2 linked regions of the Notamacropus eugenii genome follow. The protein of the gene in region 1 interacts with the protein of each later gene in a pairwise test. Links are inferred from orthologs where the notes say so. Each region holds a gene or a part of one and is shown on either strand. Other genes may lie near its edges.

The links. The genes of interacting proteins can lie anywhere in the genome.
Region 2: the proteins of DISC1 (region 1) and SRGAP2 interact in a two-hybrid assay, tested with the Homo sapiens proteins (2 studies listed by BioGRID and IntAct). The link is inferred for Notamacropus eugenii from reciprocal best matches to the Homo sapiens genes DISC1 and SRGAP2.

What each region holds. Positions count from the first base shown.
Region 1 is NC_092873.1:390,009,372-390,016,376, reverse strand, and holds the start of DISC1 (disrupted in schizophrenia 1 protein), read right to left. Parts: upstream 3,009-7,005; 5' UTR 2,212-3,008; coding exon 2,112-2,211; intron 1-2,111. UniProt on the Homo sapiens protein: Involved in the regulation of multiple aspects of embryonic and adult neurogenesis. Required for neural progenitor proliferation in the ventrical/subventrical zone during embryonic brain development and in the adult dentate gyrus of the hippocampus.
Region 2 is NC_092873.1:433,185,397-433,192,971, forward strand, and holds the start of SRGAP2 (SLIT-ROBO Rho GTPase-activating protein 2), read right to left. Parts: upstream 3,012-7,575; 5' UTR 2,939-3,011; coding exon 2,872-2,938; intron 1-2,871. UniProt on the Homo sapiens protein: Postsynaptic RAC1 GTPase activating protein (GAP) that plays a key role in neuronal morphogenesis and migration mainly during development of the cerebral cortex. Regulates excitatory and inhibitory synapse maturation and density in cortical pyramidal neurons.

The sequences.
Region 1 (7,005 bases):
TTTTCAAACAAAAAGAGTCAACAAGATCATTTCAAGCATACTGGGGGAAAAACAACTTGTAAGATTACAATTAACTTGCTCCTTTCATTTCTAAATATTTTTATTGAGTTGCTTCTCCAAACCAAACCAGGAACTGTCATTTCCTCTCTGTGACAAGCACAGTCATATCTGTAATGCCTTTCTGCCCTATCGGTTTCTAAAATATTTACTAAGTGCTAGGTTTTTAGAGCATTCTGTGATATGTTGCAGTTTCTTTTCTTTGAAGAATCTATATTAATCACTAAGACTGGGTTCCTCAGTTGCTTTAGATGCCTAATATTCAAGCATCTCTTAGTTTAGAGGAATAACTGGACAAGTGAGCTGTTCTGAATTGAAATCCTACCAAGTCAGCAAACTTCTCTGAATCTCAAGGTCCTCATCAATAAAATGAGAATAATAATCCCACAGGATTGTTGTGAGGATCAAATGAGAAAATGTATGTAAAGTGCTTTGTGAACCTTAAAATGATTGTTATTTCCAACATTCCATCATCTAGGCTTTTCAATAAATTGAACTGGCCTTGCACTATTTATTTTTTCGAATGTCAGTCAACTAGCATTTATTAAGCTCTTTTATGTGCCAGGCATTGTACTAAGCTCTGGGGATAAAAAGAAAGGCAAAAATCAGTCCCTGCTCTCAAGAAACTCACAATCTGATGGGTGAGACAACATGCATAAAACAGTGTGCAAACATGAGATAGATATATATATACATATGAAAAAATATATATAAATATAGGATAAATTGGGAATAGTCTCAGTAGAAATTCCCTAAGTTTGGGGAGAATTGGAAAAGGCTTCTTGCACAAGGTGGGACTCAAAAGAAACCAGGGAAGCCAGAGGTGAGGAGTGGGGGCATTCCAGGCCTGTAGAAAAGCCAGAGAAAACTCTGAGTCAAGACGGAGGGTTTGTTGTAGGGTAGTATAACCATAACCCACTTTAGCATCATATGAAACTTTTGAATTCCTTTGCAGACACTTTCAGAAGGAAATGAATTGAGTTAATTGAATTCTTCAGAATAGTCTACCTTTAATGAATCTAGTATCAGCACTGCCGCTAAGAGTTTATTCTTACCACCTGTCGGGGACCCCTGCAGCGAACCTTGGTAAGCGGTATGTAGTGCTGTTAAATCAGATGTGGCACCCCATGAAACTGTTTACGTTGCCCGGGTCTGGGGTCGGTAGCGGGACTACATTCTCTCAATCTTCTCATCACCTCCTTTCTAACCTTCCCTCTTCCATTCTCCTCATTTCCCGAGCCTCACGTCATGACTAGTCGGTAGGGATGGGGCCCCAGAAATCGAAGCATGGTTAAGAACTGCTCTTGCTGATCCGACAGAAGTTGGGGAACCTCCCACCTCCTTCCTAGCACTACCGTGCTCTTAAGTCCAGCGTGCCCTGCCCCCACGTCAGCGGCCGCCAACACAGGGAAGTTAGGGAGGGGGTCAATGCACAGAGAAGGGCTCTTGTCCAGTCAGTTTCCTGCAATTGATCTAAACGAAAACAAAGCGAAGCAGTTCCCGGGTTAACACGAAAAGCCACACACCCACCCGCGGACTGGGAGCGCTGCAGGCTGGGACTCGGTCCAGCCCCGATCCCAAACCACGCTGACTTACAAAACGCCTACCAGCGCGCAGGCAGAGTGCCCTCCTTCTCTGGTTCTTAAACCAAATAAGAAAATAAGCGCGTACTCGTTAGGGAAAGGAGCTTCGGTGCTGGGCACCCGCAGAGGGACAGGCGCGCACTCCCAGCCGTGACCCTGTTTGTCTCTAGGCACGGCCCCCGCACGCTCTGTGCCTCAGTTTCTCCCCGCTGTAACGGGGCGGTAGAAGTTGCCATTGTTACCTTTGCCACTTCCTGGATGTCAGTTACTTCTCCACACCCACCCAGCCCCCAAACTGCTAGGCGGTTTCAGTTCCCCGCTCCGCTCGAATCCCTCTCCGAAGAACCGTGGTGAAAGCTCCAGCCCGACCCCCACCCCACCCTTGCCCGTCCAGGGGAGGGGAGAGGAGTGGGAGAAGCTGGAGGGACCCTGCTCGAAGTGCTGTCCTGGGTGGCTGTGGAGGTCTCTTACCAGGGCTCTGACCCCCGCTGTTGCTTCTGCCGCTGCCCCTCAGTTGCTCAGGGCGCTCGCCCCAGGCGGCCGGGGCACCCCGCTGCCCCCTGCCCAGCATCGATCCTCCCTACGAGCTCTGCTACCCCCGTTGCTTCCTCTCCACGCCCGCCAGAGCTCGGGGAGTGGGAAGCCGGGGGCGGGGAGGGGGGGGGCTCCAGCCACGCGGGGCTCCTCCTCCTCTTCTCTCCCTCCGTTTCTCCGGCGCTGTCTGCACGGTCTACTCCCCTGGGGACACCCGGGCCTGGCCCTTCAGTCAGAGAGGCATGAAACGAGAGCTGGGAGAGGAGTTGTGAGAAGAAGGGGATGGGGGTCAGCAAGGAGACTGCTTCCTTCTCCAGGACCGTGATTTCTGTGAGATTTCCGAGCTCTCTAAGCACCTCCAGCACCCCCCTTGAGCTTCCCCAACTTCGGTGGTGGGGGCCCCAGGCTTGCCGAAAGTTTGGTTTCTGCTTTTACTAAATCCCAGCTCTGAACCTTGGAAGAGAAGAGCTTGGATGAGAGAACGAGGATATAGAATTTAAGGATGAAAGAATATGAAGAGTATGGTATGGAAAATAAAAGGGAATCCCCCAGCTTCCAAATTTTGGGAAGGGTAAAAACATAGGCGTGTGAGGTGGAGTAGAGTGGGAGGAAATTTCGAGGAAAAGAATGACTAACTGAATGAAAACAACAACAACTTGATATTAAGACCAGCAATGTGCCAGCTATAGCCTACTGGTTAGAGTAGTGGAAGGTGGGGCAGTGATAGAGTGCCCAGCCTGGAGTCAGGAGAAATCTTCCTGAGTTCAATCTGGCCTCCTACACTTACTAGTTGTGTGACCTTGGGCAAGTCACATAACCCTGTTTGCTTTTACCCTCATCTGTAAATTCAGCTGGAGGAGGCAATGGCAAATCAGGCCAGTGTCTTTGCCAAGAAAACTCCAAAGAGCATCACAAAGAGCCTAAGACAGTAAATTGCAGAAGAGGTGTTGACCTGCATTAGTAGAGGGACTTTCCTCACCTTCCTTACTTGGTAGTTCACTAGAGCCTAATACCCATCTTTAGGTACTAGTGATTCAAATACAAAAGTAAAACTGCTTCTGTCCTCAAATAGCTTATTTTATAACAGTGTGGAGCAACACATATAGGAGAGTCATAACCAAAGAAGGAAGTTTTTGTCTGAGAAGCCACAAGAATAAAGAGTGGTTTCCAAAGGACTCATGATGAAAAATGCTATCCATCTCCTTAGAGAGAACTGAAGAATTCTGAGTGCAGATTGAAGCAGATTTTTTCACTTAATTTGTGTGTGTGTGTGTGTATTTTCTTTTGCAGTATGGCTAACACGGAAATATGTTTTGCATGACTTCACATGTATAATTGCTATATTGCTTGCCTTCTCAGAGGGTGAGGGAGGGACCAAAGGGAAGAAGAGGATTTGGAATTCAAAATTTTTTAAAATGAATGTTTAAAAATTTTAATGTAATTGGGAACTATGAAAGGAAATAAATAAAAAAATTTTGAAAAGATAAAGAATGATGAGTAATGGATGGCCCTGTCTTTTCCTAGAAGCACTGATAGTACTGATTTGATCACTATTCCCAGGAAAAGAAATGGCAAAATGTTCCAAGATGTCTGATTTGGGTGAATTTGAGACTGCTAGATGTAGTTACTTGAAAACCAAGAGCTGAACCCCAGGATGGAGCTCCAAAGCTGAATGGGTTAACTCACCTAAAAAGGACATTTGGTCTCTTTTCCAAAGAGTGTGCTGTTCCAGGTAGAAAAAGGAAATAGTGACAAGATAATGGCAAGATGGGCAGAAGAAGGTAGAATGGAAAAAATGGGAGCATAGGTAGTAGCAACCCTACAATCAAAGTAACCTAAACAAAATTCAGGCATCTGAATTCTCATCAATTTCCTAATGCCATTGCAGTGGGTCTGTCACTACCCCAGATGTCTTTGACCTCTCCTTAAGCTCCTAGGCTAACAGAATACTCATCCTAGGGGTTGTTTATTTGTTCCTTCAACAAACATTTAAGTGCGCTTATAGGCAGTGGAGCACATAAAGACATGGATCAAGTGATAAGGCAGTTAGGTGATTTCAGACCTAGTTGACCAGATCCCAAAAGTATTGATGGGGATGTCTATGCCACCTTGGAGGGAGATCTCAAATGAAGATCCTAAGGAATCTGTCCTTGGCTTTGTGCTGTTCAACATTCTAATCAATGACATGGAGGAAGGTATAGATAACATGTTTGTAAAATTTGCAGGTGACATGTCAAAGAAAGCAACAACCAACATGTCAAAAGACAAAAAAAAAATCAAAAAGGTTTCAATAAGATAGAGTAATGGGCTGACTCCAATTAAGGAAAATATAACAAGAATGAGTAGAAAACATTGGCTGTAACGATATAAAAAGATTTGAAGGTTTTAAAGCAATGGTGTCCAACTCAAAAAAAAAATGGCAGTCACTAAACCATACATAAGAATCTCCTCAACCACATATTGACTTAGTTGTTGTCTGTTGTATTTTTATTTATTTTGCTAAATATTTTCCAATTACATTTTAATTTGGCTTAGCTGCACCCAGGAATACTATGGGCCATGTTTTTGACATCTCTGTTTTCGACCTTTACAAGTTCAATATAAGGCAGTCAAAAAAAATAGGATCTTAGACACAGGAAGAAATAATAAAAGGAAGCAATGGGTGATTAGGTCTCAGCAAATAAGTGGTATGGATTTAAAAAGTATACAAAATTCAGGGGAAAGAAAGTTCACTTGTGTATAGGAAAGACTTCACAAAGAAGATAGGATTTAAGCTGAAGCCTGAAAAATGGAAAGGATTTAGCTGGATGGAGAGGAAGAGAAAGGTCATTTTAGGGGGGATAAACAGCATGAATGTATCTGATCTTCCTTTCCTTCCATGTACCACTTTACTCATGTTGGAGAATGGTAGTGGCCTAACTACCTCATGCTGAGACAAGGATCAATAAGGTAAACTAGAAGTTCTGTAGATACCAAGGTTTAGCTAGATTTCAGTGTTCAAGAAGGAAGACTCTTAGTAGATAAGGTTGGAAAGGTTCAGATAGTGACATCCAGAATGCCAGGTTTAGGAGCTTGAATCCTGTCCTATAGGTATCAATTAGCCATAAGAAGTTTTTGAGCAAGAGATAGAAATTAATCATGATCAAAATCAGTGTTCATGGATATGTGCATGGCACTCTATTCATATAAAGAAGTGTTGCATTCTCTTTGGTCCAGAAGCATGGCATGATTTTAAAAGATTCATCTGGCTGCAATATTTAGAATATGACATCTGGAGTTTCCAAATATGTCCCTACAGGGATGGAGAAGAATATCAGAAACATCACCCTGGTAGAATGCAACATCAAATAATATCTGAATGATCTTATCAAGACATATTTGCCTTTCTAGGGAATCAATTTAGTGTAGTGAGAAGACTAGACTTGGTATCAGTCAATCCACTACCATTTATTAAATACTTATTATGTGCCAACCACGGTGCTAAGTGCTGAGAATAGAAATAGAAAGAAAGGCAGCGTTTACCCTCAAGGAGCTTACATTCTGATGAGAGAAGACAATGCATAAAAGGAAGTTGAAAAGGGGCTGGAAGGAGAAAAAGGTACCTCATGAGGGAGGCATAGTAGAGAAAGTCCTAAGCAAAACCTAGAGAGGAATGAGACATCAGTGGCCTGAGTGCCTTCCTTAAATAGAGGTTCTAAGAGGAGCCATCCAATGAGAGGAGGAAGAAGCCACAGGAGTAGAGGGTACTTCCAATATGTGAATTCCAAGGCTACAGTGAAGATTCATGGATGAAGAACTGGGATATGGTGAGGTTTTAGAATAGTAGAAGAAATCTGGAGTACAGTCTGAAGAGGAATGAGAATTAGGAGAGGCAGATTTTATTCCCCCCTCTGATATTTACCAGCTCCATAACTATTGATAAATCATGTCATCTATACTATTAATTAATCATGTCATCTATCTGAGCCTCAGGTTTCTTCACTAGAAAATGGAGGAGATACCTACTTCATGTGTTGCATTGAGAATCAAATATCATGGACTCCCCAAAACTACCCCAGGTCTGAGGTACTTTGTAGATCAATACTCATTCAAAACCATAGCTCTTGAGTCCCCACTGATGAGTGAATGAATAAACATTTATTAAGGGCTTACTGTGTGCCAAGTACTATAATTGATCTTCAACCAGGTCATGCCTACCAACAGCAGATTACCCCTAGGGCTATTCTCCATTTCTACATTTTCACCTGGTAATCTCATCAATTCCTAAGGATTCAGTTTTCATCTCCATGGTGAAGATGCTCAGATCTGTTTGTTCAGTCCTAATCTCTCTCTTGACCTCAAGTCTAACTTCTCCAATTGCCTACTGAACATCTAGAATTAGATGTCCTGTGGACATCTTAAATTGAACTCATAATCTTCTCCCATGCCCTCTCCCTAACTTTCCTATTGCTGTCATCCTACTAGTCAGCCTGACTCAAAATCTAGGTGTCATCCTTGACTCTTCATCCTCTCACTACCAATTTTACTTTCCTAACATTTCTCCTATATGTCCCATTCACCACATGAAGGGAAAGAGAATAAGCATTTATATAGTGTTTCCTGTATGCTAGGCACTCTCTTAAGAGTTTTTTTTTAATTTTATAAATACTATCTCACTTGATCTTCACAACAAATCTGTGAGGTTGGTTCTATTATTATCTCTATTTTACCACTGAGGAAACTGAAAGGTTAAATGTTTTGTCCATGGTCATACAACTAGTAAGTATCTGAGACTGGATTTGAACTCAGGTCTTTCTGGCTCCAGGACCAGCATTCCATATAATGTACTATC
Region 2 (7,575 bases), about 43 Mb from region 1:
TTTCTGGGAGACTATAAAAACCTTAAGAATATAAATAAGTGAGTGGGGGAGGAATGGGGTACATACAGGGCAGGGAGGTCTCTGCAAAGAAATGACAATAGCCTAGATTATATGAAGTTACATTAACTCACCCAAATATTACCCTTCCATCCTTGGTGACGTTACCTACACCTCAGCATTGTATCAGCTCAAATCTCAGCAAAGGCACTAATACCCTAGGAACCAAGGGGCCCCAGAGGCATGGCTGTGGAATCTGACCAGACACCCAAAGCCTGAACTTTACTAAAGGAATCTGAATCCCCACAAGCTAAGAAACAGTGCTCTTGTCTTCAGGAAGGAGACAAGTTAGGCTGTCTCAGAGGGCAGCCCCCAGCAAAACCACAAAGGGATTGATGAGGTTGGGCCTTACAGTCTCAAAAGTGCTATACCTCCCCACGTGGCTACAAGAGTAGGAAGGGAAGGGGAAAAAAAAACCCACAAAGAAGGTAGAGAGGGTCTCAAAAAGTTCGTCTTTATCCTCAGATTTAAAATTCATTCAGATGACTCCGAAGCAAGACCCAAGTAGAATAAGGACTAACTCTGTATTCTACAACTATTGTAAACTCGTTGAAGGTAGAGACTGTGGTTTTTTTTTTTTTAAATTCCTAGTACCTAGCAGAACAAAGGCAGTGTTTGATAGTGAAAAGAGAGCTGGACGGAAAGTCTAAAGACCTGGGTTCTTATCCCAGTTCTGCCCTTAACTGGCTGTGTGACCTTGGGTAAATCCTTTAAGTCTCTGGGCCAGTTTCCTGATCTGCAAAATAAGAGTGTTAGACCATCATTTCTCTGGTTCCTTCTAGTTCCAAGATTCTTTGAGTCTACACAATGTCAATGGGAAAAGACTGGAGCGAAAGAAAACTCTGCTGTCTGTGGCAAGGTTAAAGAGAAACCTCAAAGATCCAACTGCATTACATCATCTCAGAGAGCAGTGTTTGTAAATATGCGAGTGTTTAATTCTCTGAGCACACAGGAGAATTTCCAGCATTCCTTTACCAGCTGGATCAGTGGCTAAGATGATTCTATTAACAACACCTTTCAGTCCCAAAACTTCCTAAAAATATATGTGTAAAATCACTTTGTACCGTTGGTCAAATGGGGTGACTCTGAAGAGAACCTGGAAAAGTGGAAGTTATTAACTCTATGGAAACAGTTCTGAACAGGATGTGAAGGAGAGGCACAGACCTAGTTATAATGAGAGGGGGGATTCCAACCAGCAGAACGCAGCCAATCTGGACAGGACACAAAAGGCCAGTGGCCTATTGTTTGCAAAAAGAGTCAGGGCTTATCAACCAGGACAAGAGGCCAAGACCTCACTCAATTCTAACTCGAAGCCACACCCCTCCCAGCCCAGCACAACTGGATCTAGAATTGAGTTAGCTCCCTATCCCTGCTCTAAACCTACTGGGGCTTTCAGTCAATTGATGAGAGAGACCCTTCAGAGCACACTCTGGAGGGGAGCTAACTGAGGAGATAAAGAGATCCCAGCATGGTGGGAACTGCAGATTAAGCCTCTCCAAGCAGAAGGAAGCAACTGGCTTCCCATTTTAAAGCCTCCCAAGCATTGGTTGGAGGAAGGGTTACAAAGCTCTCCCTAAGTCCTCGATGTTATAAAAAAGGTTTCCTAACATAGATACAGGGAGAGGAGGAGGGGACACTTCCCTCTACCCTGAAACAAAGGAAAACCTAGATTTCCAGCCATGTGTTATAACATTCAAGGCCTATTTCCCATCCCCCAGCTGATATCTCACTAGACTGAGGCACAGGGCTATCTCCAGTGACTGATTAGCTAGCCAGGTTGGGTAGCCACACAAATGTTGGTTGTGTGTTCCTCATTAACAGGCAGGAATCCAGGGAAGGAAGGGCAATAAGGAATTTGGGAAGGAGCTCTAGGAATGGGGGATTCACTAGTCAAGTCTATCAGTGGACCTAGGAGAGCTGAGAACTGGTCAGTTGCCTCTACAAGTTTACCTTTTCATTCCTGTTTTGCAGGGAAATAATTCAAGGCTTCAAAATAAAGAAGGAAAAGAACAAAGGGTTAAACACAGATCTTTCTTTTCCTTTTCCAGAACCACAACCCTGGGGAATCAAAATTCAGTTCAAAACCCATGTCACCACATACAAATTCAGGGTGGAGGGTGAAAGGATGGAGGTTGGGTGCCTTGATTTCTACTCTCCACATAGCAGGCTGATCCTAGATGTAGCTGGGCAGGTATGCCTAGCAGCTGATGTTCCTGGACTGTTTTGTAATACCATAGCAAGTCTTACAGTTTAAAATAGCTGCAGTAGGAAAAAAAACACTAAGAAAAAAACCACCCTTATAAACCCAACCTCTGCAGGAGCTTTCCAAATAAAACACCTTCTCTAGGTTGCCTTTTCCAGCCCAGATTAGTCTTCAGGCTGTGAAATGCATCTCCAAACACCTGTCAGATTTCAATCATTCCGAAGACCCAAACTCAAAAGCAGATTACCCCTTTTATCCTTTCAAGAACCACGTGCCCCCCCACCCCCCAGTCTAGGCAAGGTAAGGGGGCACTTACAGTGATGGCCTGGTCCCTAGGGCAGACCTGAAAGCTCTGGAAAATTTCCATTAGTGCCTGTGGCCCCTAGCCCTGCCATCCTAGGGTGGTACACACCCTCATCCCCCTCACCCGACAGTCTTCTCTGAATAAAAACTCCCCCACCTGCTCTATCCAGGGAAATGAAACCTTCCCGACGAGCCACAATAGACTATATTTAAACATGTATATATGTGTGTGTGTGTGTGTACATATACGTGTGTATATACAAGTACATATGAATAGGCGTATACAGCAATTTTCAAAGACCACCTACCTTTGACCTGAGTATCGTATTCTGCTATGATCTCCTTATCCTTTTTGAATTTAGCCGGAGACGTCATGTTTCTTTCCTAATTCAGCTCCCGAATGGATAGATCCACCCGAAAAAAAACCCGGCCCACTCCAGTTAAAATCCCCGAGATCTCCTCTTCCGAGGGCGGCTGGGTCTCCCGGCAGAAGCCAGCGCTCCGGGGAGCCTCAGTCCGTAGCAAGGCTGCCGGCTGGGGAGGCAGCGAGCGGCCAGCGCGGCGGGAACATGCAGATGTTGGCGGTGGCGGGGGCCGGGGCCGGGGCGGAGCAGCGGCGGAGCAGCGGCGTCGGTGTCCTAGTGCCGAGCCCCGAGCCGCAGCATCAGCATCAGCCAGCCGAGCCGCAGCGCCGGGAGGCTGTCCTGGGGACTGACATCAACGGCACAGGCAGGGAGTGGAAGTCCTTCCGCACAGCACCATGGTGTGGGGGTGTGGGGATCCGTGTGCGCCTGACAGTCAGTGTCGGGGCGAGGGTGTGGGGGTGCGTCTGGGCGTGTGTCCGTGTGTGTGTGCGTGTGTATGTGTGTGCGTGTGTGTGTTATGTGTGTCTGTGTGTGTGCGTGGAGGGCTGATCCCAGGCTTGCTTCTTTTTTGGTTTGGTTTGGTCTTACGGGCTCCTGAGATGATGCAAATCAGATCCCAAATGGGAGCTGCAGCAATGCAGGATCGGAAGTCGTTTTCTTCGGTTCACTTGCCTGTAAATGCAGGAAAAGGGGGTGGGGGAGAGGATGGAAAAGGGGGTATCAGCGGGAGTGCAGATACAGATACGCAGGCGGGGGCGGGGGAGGCGACGTCTTCCCAAACTAGGGGCTGCGGAGTCCAAGCCCCATTCACCCCCACCCCAGGAGGGTGGGCAGCAGAGGGGTGGAGGGAGGTGCGGCAAGGTCAAGCTCCCTCTGAATTTAAAGAGACAAAATCCCTTCAAAGCCTCGGCTCGCTCGGAGCCAGGGGAGGGAGGGCTGCGGGGACTCAGCCGCAGCCACCCACCCCACCCGCCCCCAATCCTGCCCGACCTGAGCCGTGCCCAGCCCCAGCCAAAGCCAAAGCCTTCCTGGACCTAGAAGGCGGCCATCGGACCCCGCCCCAACCCCAGTATCTCCCCTAGACATCAAAGGGCGATCAAAAGGCCAGGGCAGGGGGAGGGGGTGCGGATGCAGTTCCCAGCGGGGACGAGCTACTAGCGCACAACTTTTCCTCCCCTTCCTCCTCCTCGTTGTTTTGTTTTTGGTTACTAGCTTCCCTTGGCAGCAAATGTAAAAGGCGGGGGGATGCCAGGAGGAGGGCGAGGTCTGCAGGGAAAGGGGGGGGACCCTACTCTGTACGAGCCACATCCAGAGGAAAAATGTGGCCGGCAGAGGCAGGAAACGGGGCCGCAGAGCCCCGCCAGGACACCATCAGCTAAGCGCGGGAGGGCAGCCCTGCCTTCCCCCAGCCACCCCGCTCCAGCCCAGCCCAGCCGGCCCTGCGGGGATCGGCCCCGCGCGAGAGGGGAGACCCCTCCTCCACCCGCACTCTCAGTCACATCCCCGCCGCCCAACTCCAGATCCCGGAGCCCTCTAACCCCGGGGGCGCATTCTCCAGGCCCGGCTTCTCACCCCCTAAAGGTGCCCGACAGAGAGACGAGCCGGGGCGCATAGCGGGCTGAGGGGCGGGCAGACCCTCGGACGCCCCTCGGCTTCCTTCCCTCCCGCCTGCCCTCTCCGCTGCGCTGCGCCGGAGGAGCCCGCCTGTGTCTCCCCCTTCCCGCGGTCGAAGGGAAGGGCAGCGGGAGGAAGGGAGGAGGGAAGCGAGGAGGGAGGAGGGCCGGCGTGGCTCCCGGGAGCAGGAAGGGGGGGGAACGGAGGGGAACGAGGTGGGCTACTCCACTTGGCCGGGGGGAGCAAGCTCTCGGCTGATCCCCCGGGAGGGGCGCGCTCCTCGGGGAAGGGCTGCCCGACCCCGGAAGGCCGGCCAGGCCGGGGGGCTGGTCCGAGGGAGGGAAGCGCAATTCCCGGGAGCACGCTGGGGAGAGCGAGGTACGAGGCGGCCGGCCCCGGGCGTGCGCCCAGCGCGGGAGGACGGACGGACGGTGCCGCCTGCCGGGCTCCGGAGGCAGTGAGTAATTAGTCAGCGCTGCCTCCCGGGAAAGGGCCGGGGCCGTTCTGATGAAGGGGGGTTGTCAGGTGCGGGCGGACGTCCAAAGAGGGGTCTGGGGGCCGCGCTGGGGGCGCCACGCCGGACGCCGGCCGGGAGAAGACGAGGGCGGTGCACAAGGGATCTGGGAAGGGTCTCCCGGAGCCTGGACCGCCGGCCGGCGGGCAACGGGATGGCGGAGAAGCCAAGCAGGCAGCGGACGCCGCGCTCTCCTTCGCGCCCCAGTCTGCGATTCTCTCCAGGAGGGAGAAAAGGGAGAAGGAAGGAGCCTTTACCTGGCTCCGGCGCGGCTGGGTCCCCCGGCCCCGGGAACGCTTTCCCTTCTCACTTCCCGCCCATCCACCCGCTACTTTGCGGTTCGCTTCCCTCCCCCACCCCCTAGGCGAGCCTCCGCCGGCTCCCCGGACGGATCTCGGAGAGGAATCCCACCGGATTGCCAATCATTGTCCGCCGTCTCTCGACTGACGGACGCTGGAGCCATTAAAGAAGACTGATCCCGCCCCTCCACACCTACCCAAGAGCAAGGTTGGGCTGGAAAATCAAAGGGCGTGGCCTATCGTGCATGGGCGGAGTCTTGGAGTGAGCCCCACCCCTCGAGACCTCCAACTAAAGTTAAAAAAAAACACTAGGGAGGTGGGAACAAGACGCTCAGCAACCACACGCGAACTCGAAAGGGTAGACAGAACCAATTGGATCGTGTCAAGGGGGCGAGGCGTTGCGGGGAATTTTGTCCAATAGAGAATAAGAATCTGAGGGGAATGTCTAATGTCTTCCAATTGGAAGCTCGAAGGGCGTCCTCTCTCCCTTTCACTGGGGCGAAAGCGAAGACTTGCCTAAACCTCCTTGAAGTTCACCAATCAAAATCGGAGGCGTAGCCAAATTCTTCCAACTGACAAGCAGAACCGAACAGATACGGTTGCCGGGGCGGGCTAGGCAAGGTTCTCCTCCACTCAGACTTTCACTTGGAGGCGTGTCCAGAATCTTCCAATGGGGGAAGAAGGCGTGTCCAGGCTTCCCCCCAATAGGAGCGCGACGTTGGTAATTCAAACTGACAGCCGGTCAGGAAAGCCAAAGGAGGAGAGTGAAAACGGCGTGTCCGGTGACAGGAACCCCGCGAGGACCGAGCCGAACCGACCTGCCCTGCCCCGCCCCGCCCCGCTCTTTCCAGGGCGCGCGCCGGCGCGTGCGCGCCTGACCGGTCCAGTTCGAGGGGGAGAGAGCGAGCCAAGGGAAGGGGGCGTCGAGGGAGACAGGGCCGAGCTGAGGAGAGGGAACCTCTAGGGAGAGAGCTGGGGGGGCAGCTATCCAAGGAGAGGGAGAGATCGCTGAGGGGGATCATCCAGGAAGATAGAGCGAGGTTACAGCAGAGGCGTCAGGGACTAGAGAGGACCATCTGCGGGGCTGTCCAGGAGGAGAGGCCGAGATTGGAGGAGAGGCATTACTGGAGGGAGAGGGATCTCAGGTGTGCCATCCAGGAGCGAGAGAGCGCTCAGCGGCTGTGCTCCAGAAGAGGCAGGGAACTGTGGGCCGAAGCCCCCGTGGGGAGGGAGAGGGCCGAAGCCAGGTACCCTGCGCGACCGAGGAACCTACGGGAGGACGTCCCGATAGTGAGGGAGAGGGTCGAGCCGAGGTACCTCAGACGAGACAGAGAGCTGAGCAGCTTAGTCCAGGAGGACTGGGGGAGAAGCGACGACAGGCTCAGAGAGGTCAGGTTCCTCCAGGGAGACAGGGAGCCCCCCGGCAGAGACAGGAACCTCCGGGCCTTCCTCTGCGAAGACGAGGACCGGCTCGCCAGGGCCAGGGAGAGGGTGCTGAGAAGCGCAGTCCAGGAGGACAGGGAGCGCCCCGACGACAGGGCCCCGGTCAGAGAGAGGGACCTCAGGGCCATCCTCAACGAAGAACGGGAGAGGGACGGGGACGGGCTCGCCAGGGTCAGGGAGAGGGTGCCGAGAAGCGCCGTCCAGGAGGACAGGGAGCGCGAGGAGGGCCGGCAGCTAAGGAGGGTGAGGGTCAGGGAGTCGAGGGGGAGCGTCCAGAGGGACAGGGAGCAGATCGAAAGCCGGCAGTCCAGAGAGATCGACCTGAGGGACCTAATCCGGGAGAGGGAGAGGTCGGAGAGGAGGCAGATCCAGAGAGAGCAGGGTCTGAGGGCGGCCATCCAGAGGCAAACGCACGTGGCAGAGGGGAGGTATACAGCGAGGGAGAGAGAGCTGAGGGGCTCCATCCAGAGGGACAGAGAGAGGGCCGAGAGGAGGTTCCTACGGAGAGAGCGAGAGCTGAGGGGCTCCATCCAGAGGGACACAGAGAGAGCCGAGAGGAGAAGCCTAAGGAGGGAGAAGGAGTTGAGGGCGAGCATCCAGAGAGAAAGAGAGAAGGAGGCAGCTAAAGAGAGGAAAAGATGGGGTCAAGGTCTCCTGCTGAGGGCCAGGGAGAACGCTGAGAGGCGCCTCCATCTAGAAAGTCACCCCCCTAGGCGAGCAACGCTGCCAGAGGCAGACAGTGGTACCCTCCAGGGAAGGAGAGAGAGAACTAGCAGA